Linked DNA regions of Nothobranchius furzeri. The protein of the gene in region 2 purifies or fractionates together with the protein of the main gene of each other region. This does not show direct contact. Links are inferred from orthologs where the notes say so. Each region holds a gene or a part of one and is shown on either strand. Other genes may lie near its edges.

Evidence for each region. Proteins that work in one complex are often made in the same cells at the same time.
Region 1: the proteins of carbohydrate-responsive element-binding protein (region 2) and mlx purify together in Homo sapiens (affinity purification with western blotting; 3 studies listed by BioGRID and IntAct, counting the BioPlex papers as one, with this or other methods). This does not show direct contact. The link is inferred for Nothobranchius furzeri from reciprocal best matches to the Homo sapiens genes MLXIPL and MLX.

The regions. Positions count from the first base shown.
Region 1 is NC_091745.1:7,588,621-7,592,859, forward strand, and holds the start of mlx (max-like protein X), read right to left. Parts: upstream 3,011-4,239; 5' UTR 2,938-3,010; coding exon 2,911-2,937; intron 2,177-2,910; exon of another isoform or gene 2,109-2,176; coding exon of another isoform or gene 2,097-2,108; coding exon 2,060-2,096; intron 1,934-2,059; coding exon 1,844-1,933; intron 1,288-1,843; coding exon 1,178-1,287; intron 1,083-1,177; coding exon 980-1,082; intron 1-979. Other genes in the region: fmnl1a (formin-like protein 1), read left to right, coding at 4,081-4,239. UniProt on the Homo sapiens protein: Transcription regulator. Forms a sequence-specific DNA-binding protein complex with MAD1, MAD4, MNT, WBSCR14 and MLXIP which recognizes the core sequence 5'-CACGTG-3'. The TCFL4-MAD1, TCFL4-MAD4, TCFL4-WBSCR14 complexes are transcriptional repressors.
Region 2 is NC_091750.1:66,106,852-66,110,575, forward strand, and holds part of carbohydrate-responsive element-binding protein, read right to left. Parts: intron 2,391-3,724; coding exon 2,308-2,390; intron 2,220-2,307; coding exon 2,130-2,219; intron 1-2,129. UniProt on the Homo sapiens protein: Binds DNA as a heterodimer with MLX/TCFL4 and activates transcription. Binds to the canonical E box sequence 5'-CACGTG-3'. Plays a role in transcriptional activation of glycolytic target genes. Involved in glucose-responsive gene regulation.

The DNA.
Region 1 (4,239 bases), on a different chromosome or scaffold from region 2:
CTTTACAACACCGGAAGTTTAAACGTGGGGGTGTCGTTACAACTTCTCCATTTTGTAAATGAGCATTTGTTTAAACAAGAACGTTTATGTTCTCCTGATCCCAGTCATGTGATTGCGAGTATGTGCTGATACCGTGTCCCGATCCGATACTTCAGCAACGCAATTAAAATAAGAAAAAAGAATACATCCAAGTTCTCCTCTTTATTATTCATCTTTATTTCTTCTGGTATTTTTGTCATTTCCTTAATTTATTTGCCAAATAAATCACTCGTTCAAGAAGTGAATTGATTAAAAGTATGTTAATAATATGAATATATTATTAATAACAGATAAGGTGCCTCGTCGCCGTGCTGAGTGATGTGCATGGCATGATGTGCACGGTCGGCAGACTCACTTTTCTCTGCTCAACACCTGCAGAGCTGCGTGTGACGAGAAGGAAACTCACCGCGGCTCCAGGAGACCCGACGTTTGCAACCATCTTGACGGCGACACGTTAGCTCTGTGTTAGCCTGCTAGCTAACAGCTACATGTTATAGTGTCTGAACTCCACGTCTGTAAATTTTGTGACGTTTCTCTCTATGAAACAAAGAATATTGACGTAGCAGAACTTGTTCAAATTCAACCTAAGCCATTGTTATTCAGTTTAAAAATTTGTATAAGGATGAATGTAAAAGGTCACGTCCTTTCCCACCTGATTCCGAATGATTCCTGATCAAGAGATCGAGTCGGAGCCTCCCCAGGCAGCGGCTGGAGGTTTACTTTAAATATATGCAAACTGCTCAGCCTATTAACAGTGTCTGATTTGTTATTTTATGGCTAATAAAGTTGAAGAACAGCAGCAGGGAGGGCTATTCATCATGTCTCACGCATAACCTGCACATTTTAAAATAACTAAAAGGTTTTATTATTGTTTGTACAGAGTTCTTTTTTTCTACCAACAGTTCAGTGTAAAAATGTTCAAATTGCAAAAGGTTCCTACTTTTCTGCAGAACAGTAGCCTTGCTGATCTTCTGGGCTCCAACTGCAAACTCAGACTGCTGCTGGCACGTAGGAACGATGGACTGCAGGTCACCATAGCCTTTCTAATGACACATAGAAATCAATATTAACTCTTAAACAGCCAGAATTTTAAATCTAACTCTTATAAAGTGTGTCAGTTGGAGTCCTGAAGTCCTACCTTGATTGCATCTCTGCGCTTTTGCTCAGCTTGAGTGTGTGCTTGTCTCCGGCGATCTTTAAAGGAGTCTTTAAATGACGTCTCGTGCCTGTAATCGCTGTCTTCATCATCTGTTTGGGAACAAGCCTCTGACATCTGTACTCTCAATGAACTCATTTGCAATTATTTTCTTGCTTACATATCTGGTGTCAGTTTAAAAACAGAAATTATTTAAATCAAGTTTAAAATGAGAAAAAATGGACGGATGTTTTTAATTTTGTAAATCTTAAAATCGAATGAAAACTTGCATCATTTTTGTGTTGGCTCCTTCTACAATATAACACAGGGCTGTTTCTGTTTCAGCAGCAAATATATGTTTGCTTCAGTCCGGTCAAATTATAGACGGATTTTTAGCAAATGCAAAAAGGTAGAACATAGAGAGTTTATTTATTAAATATGGCAAGTTCACCTTCCCAGACTAGATTTTAAAGCATGAGACGAAATACCATCAAGACTCACCAGACAGGTTTGTGTTTGAATGTGAGACAGGAAACAAAATAAATAAAGGCACCATCTCTGTGATTTGTTGTTTCAACCTTTTCTTTAAGGATAAGGAGTAGTCAAAAGGCACGTTCACACTTATAAACTATCAGCAAGATAAAATCATCTGTGTTTTAAACACGATACCTGTATTTGGTACTGAAGAGGCACTGGTTGAGCCGATACTGTTGGCTCTGGAAACAATGCTTCCCTTTCTAGCAGTTTCAGCAAAGAAACCTGGAAAACAACCCAGATTTTATAAAAAGGGTTAAAAATAAACCCACCATTAACAAAAATGATTTAATTAATCATGTGCTATGTGAAAATGAAAAAGCATTCATTAGAAAAGTAAAAATGACTCACTTGTGTCAAACCCACTGTCACTGAAAGCCCCGTCTGTCTGTCCAGCCATCACCAAGAAGAAGAAAAAGGAAACCAGAAGCTGTGAGATTGGGTTGAGGAGGGGAAATGTGTGCTGCCCTAAATATGTCGACAAAACACAAACAGCAAGCCAATCCAAACCCCACTGAGCACTGTCCTGATTTGTCCAATTCAAGAACAGAAGATAAAATTGCTTCAATCACAGATCTGCTGTTTGATGTAGTGCAGCACAACACAACAGTCCGTGTTTTTATTTATGTAGTTATGTATGTTAGCCTAGATTTCCTCCTGATTCTGGGGGAGAAACTCCTCAAAGGCCTCGTCAGTCTTCAGCAAATAAAGAATCAGACATGTGAGGATTAGTCCTGTATAAACATTGCTCTGAAGGTTGAAGATAAAAATGATTTAAAATACTGTTAATCGACTATTAAACAACTTACAAGAAAAAATACACAGTGCCTTTTTTTATATTTTATTATTAACATATTAGTTTGTATACAGCTGCTGTTGTCACCCAAAAAGTATTTTCAGACTAATTTTAAGAATACGCCAAAAAGTTCTAAATAACCATATTTCCTTGGCTGTTTGTGCATGTAAATATATGTTTTAAACGACTTCATTTGATATGGAAAAACAATTCCGTTTTCAAGGCTTTGTTTACTTAACTAGCATGCTGGCTAACTGCTACAATACGTCACCAAGCTAATGTTAGCTAGCTTTTGAAGCCATGTTCCAACTTTAGCGTTGAGAAAACAGTTGATCACATTCTACTCCACACTCACAAACGCAAAGATACGAACCAAGGGCTGAAAAAGTTGGGTTTTGTGACTTACTTTCCAGTGTTCCTCTGGGTCCGTCATTTTGAAACGCTAAAAAACTAATAGTGCTGCTGCCTTCACGTGACCCGGGAATTCCTATTTTCTCTTCTAGTCTTAGAGGACTAAAAGCACAGAGACAAAAATATTGTTTCAAAAGCTGAACACGTTTACTTCTGTTGTTGCAACACAGACACAAGCCATCAACTGTTTATTAATATTAGCAACAAACTGGTTTAGAAAGTACACAAATGAAACTCCTACGTTATTGAGAGTGCTTGAAAATAACTGTAACAATAAATAAATAAATAAATAAATGTTATCATATATTGTCTCGAAAAAGTATTTGATATTGTTGAATTACAAAATTTAGATACATAAGTTTCTGATAACAGCCATGAGACCTCAAACGCAGCATAACTACACGCAGTAACTAGCCTCGAACGCACGAGGACGCTGTTTTACCTGGTTTGATGGTATAAACCTGTCTTTACCTTATTGACATGACCTGAGATCATCAGACACCCAAACAGATGTGACTAACATACATCTGGCAGCGGCTACTCTCAAGAAACTCTGGGTTCAGGGCAAAGGTATTTTTAATTAATATTTGTTAAACATAAACCACCCAGCTTTTTTAGTCTTGTGTTAGTTTTTTTTTCATGTTGGGCTCTGTATCAAGTGCTGACAGTTATCTTTCACCTTGTCTTGAACACCAGGTTTTTGTTGCAGTCACACACAGGAAGTTACTCTTCTGCTTTTGTGCTTCTGTGGTTTCTGTCTGTGTGACAGAGTGTGTCACATTCTCCTTCCTCTCACATACTGGCCTCTTCAGCAAGCAGAGGAGTTCTCAGTCAGCCAGTGTGGTGCGACGTAGGTGCATTGAGTATTTCTCGTAGCAGACCCTAACAAAGAGTTTGACTTTGACAGAAACCTGTAGACAAGAGATGTTAATGAGGAGACAAACATGAATGCATACCTTGTTTTTTCACCATCCACCCTTTCCTCAGGACAAAGGAGGATTCCTTGAATTAGAGTTTGGAGTTCCTCACCTTGACGGTTTCAGACTTGCTTCTTGTCATTTGGAGTGGTCAGCTTTGGTCACTCTGCTTTGGAGTACATTGGTTCTGTTTTAGGTGAAGGGGTTTGTGTACAGCTTTCCTCCTGGATTACATTTGGAGATTAGTGATGGGGAATGTGGCTGTAGGGGGCTCGGAGCATGAGCCGACTGAGGGCAGAGAGGCCAGGAACTCCGTCGGGGCAGCTTCAACAATGAGTGACCCCACGCTAACTCCGCAGAAGAAGCAGCCGGCTCCCCCAAAACTTCCCATGCCCCCAGAGGAGGAG
Region 2 (3,724 bases):
TGCACGGGGCTCTAAAGGACAGGGGGTGGGCTTAGCAAGAAAAATAACTGACATATTGTCTACATGGTAAATGGCTTGTATTTGATATAGCACCTTCTAGAGTCCAATCCACTATCAGTCATTCACCCATCTTCCCTGAACCAGAAACCAGCGATGCAGGAGGAAACAGGATAGTGCAAGGCCGTTTTCTAGGTTCAAACGTCTTTTGTTGTACGTGACTTCCAACTGCGTCAATGTCAATGTCAAGTTTATTTATATAGCACATTTCCAACAATCAGAGACTGCACAAAGTGCTGTACACAGACAAGCAGTTAAAATAAAATGATAAAACACTGAGAACCATCCAGTAGACCCAAAAATTAATTAACGATAAAATCAGTTAAAAGCAAGTGTAAAAAGGTAGGTTTTTAAAAGAGACTTAGCAGAAAGGCTGTTAGCAGACCCAATCTGTAGGGGAAGGCTGTTCCAGAGCTTGGGAGCGGCCACAGAAAAAGCTCTGTCGCCTCTGGACTTCAGCCTAGACTTGGGAACAGATAATAGATGTAGAGCGGATGATTGAAGGTTTCGTTTGGGGACATGAGTGTTTAAACGTTCCGACAGATAAGGAGGGGCCAAATTGTGTTGTGCCTTAAAACAGATCAGTAGCATTTTAAATTGAATCCGGTAAGTGATCGGGAGCTAGTGAAGAGCTTGTAAGACGTGTTATGTGATCTCTGTGTCTCCTACCTGTCTCCTACCTGTCAGCAAGTGAGCTGCCGCATTCTGAGCCACCTGCAAGCGGTGAATTGGCGACTGCTCCAGTCCATGATAAAGAGAGTTGCAGTGGTCTAATCTCGACGTGATTAGCAGGTGTATAACCTTTTCAAAGTCTTTGAGTGGTAAATAGGGCTTGACTTTACTGAGAACACGCAAATGAAAGAACACACTCTGGACAACAGAACTTATCTGTTTATCAAGTTTAAAATGGCCATCAATTGAAAAACCCAGATTTCTTGCCTGAGACACGCAAAAGGATTCTAATGGGCCAAATACACTGTTTACCCCGTGCAACAGCCCAGGGTCCCCAAAAACGACAATTTACATCTTTTGGTCATTTAAAGTGAGAAGGTTCAATTGTAGCCAGTTTTAACATCTTTTAGACAATTCAGTAATTTGTCAAACAATGGCCTTCGAGAATGTAGTGGGACATATATATGCACATCGTCCGCAAAGAAGTGATACGAGATGCCATGCTTATGAAAGATGGCGCCAAGAGGCAACAGATACAGCGAGAACAAGAGCGGGCCCAAAACTGAACCTTGAGGGACACCACAACTAAGTTTCACTGGAGACGAACAACACTGCCCCATATTTACTGCAAAAGTCCTGTCAGGTAGGACTTAAACCACTGCAACACTGAGCCCAGGATGCCAACGTCATGCTCTAGGCAGGATAAAAGGATCTGATGGTCCACCGTATCAAACTGTGTTTTTCTTTTTGGGACTCTGGTAGTTTGTCCTAAAGTTGAAGTGATAGCAGCCGGCTGTTTCTCCTGTTCTGATATTATTGAGTGGAGAACCTCTCACACCAGTGGTGATCTGTTGCTAAATACACGAGTGTGTGATGAACCGTGGAGGACCCAGGGGAGTGTGGTGGTTCTGAGAGGCCGACCACAGAATGGTCCAATAGGTGCTTTCAGTCCACTTTAATTTGACTTGCCTTGACATAATCATCAAACACCAGAAAGCAGCTTCCCGTTTGAACTCATGCATGCTGAAGACATAACTCCTCTTCAAACCCTGAGCTGCTCCATCACCTTCAGGTCCTGATTTTCTCTTGTCTAGCTGGTTCTGGTGGATCTCAGAGCTGAGCTAAAAATCTTGCAACCATCCAATCACATTGAAGTGATGTCATATCTCCATGACTCAAGCAGAAAGGGCCTGGTACTATCAGTATAATTCTCTATCGACTCACTGGCTGAAAGTGGTTTTTGCTCTTTCCAAAATGTTAGAACTCTAAAATGACTGTTCCATTTATAATAGATTTTATCATAAAACCCAGATTTATGCAGTTTGGAACATTTAAATAAAACTGTGCTAGAGGAAATATTTCCATATTGAGCATTGAATGTTTAAAGGAGGCAACCTCACCCTCTTCTTATAGTAAATCCTCCACTTGTGATACTCTTTGATCACCACTTCAATCCTCCTCTTCCAGTAACTGCCTTCCAGTATGATCGCCTGTCACCCAGAAGGAAAACTCAGTTCAGTTCAGGGACTTCTGCAAAGAAATAAACGTTTTCCCTCTCCCTTCAGAGACATCGCTCACTTCAGGTTTCCGATGTGCTTCTGCCTCCGAGCCTTCCAGCGGCGTGACAAACCCACACACTGGGTTCTTCCTTTTCTCCACATCTGAGCACAGAAATGATCAAACTTGTAGCTGATCTTTACATAACCAAAACGGAAAAGCAGTTTGTTTTGGACTTTACTTTGTTACTAGGGATGTCTCGTTCCGATATCGAAAATAATTCCTTATCGACCCAAAAACACTGTATCGGATTATATCGGACTGCATCAAAAATCTCCGATATAAGCAATCCGTTAAGGTTCACATTTTAGCAACCAATGGTTAAAAACTAATTGTTTTTTTTTTTCAAACTTACTGTTATTGGTTCTTGTTTTTCGATTGAGTAATATCACTTGATCAAGCCTTTCACACATTCCACACTACGAATCGTATCGGTATCGGTCAATAATGAAGGCTGCAATATTGGTATCGGAAGTGAAAAAGTTGTATCAGGACATCCCTAGTTGTTACAGATGATAAGAACCAAGAAATGAATGGAGAATTAAAAAATAGCAATTCTTAAATAACAACATAAACAATGGGAAACTATAAAACAGGTTTTTCACAAATTTACATGAGATTTGGAAAATAGGAGAATGTATTGGACAAGATCCCAAATAAAGGTGACCTTCTTATACGTCTTTCAATGGGTGTCATAAATAAGAACAGAAAAAATGGGAGTTCCTGCTTCTTCTCATCAAAAGGAGTCAGTCGAGGTGGTTTAGACATTTAACGACTCCTGATCACCTGAGGCAGACCCAGAACTTGGTGGAAGAGTTATGTTTCCACTTGGGAATGCTTCAGGATCCCTAGGAGGAGCTAGAGAGAGTCGGAGGATCACGGGATGTCTGTACTTCCCTCTGTAACCCAACCGTGTTACCCCCATCAGGAATGTCAGGAAGGTGAGGGAAAGTACGATGGCTCAGCTGCCGTGTCTCCAGATAAAATTGTCCCTTTCAGGATTTTCATATCAGCGTATTACGACTATTACAGCAATCTCACGATGCATGACATTTGCACAGAAAACAAGTGCCTTGAGATGACTCTTGTCGTGATTTGGCGCTATATAAATAAAATTGAATTGAATTGAATGACATCACTGATCAGCGCCAAAAGGCGCCCATGGACATTAGTGACATTAAGAGTATTATCTTGCCAACTTATGCTATTATTTAATCCACTTGGGGGATGGGAGAGCAGCTGTGTGATGTAAAAACCTCACCAGCAACTCCTACAGTTTTACAAATGCTGGTTGAAGACATCTACCCATACTATTTCGAATTACAACTAAGCAGCATGAGAAAATCACAAGTCCTGGCCACGACTCTACCAGGCACTCAGATACTCCTTTGGTTCCTGACATAGCTCAGAAAGTGGTCCTTTTGGGATGTCCCACTGA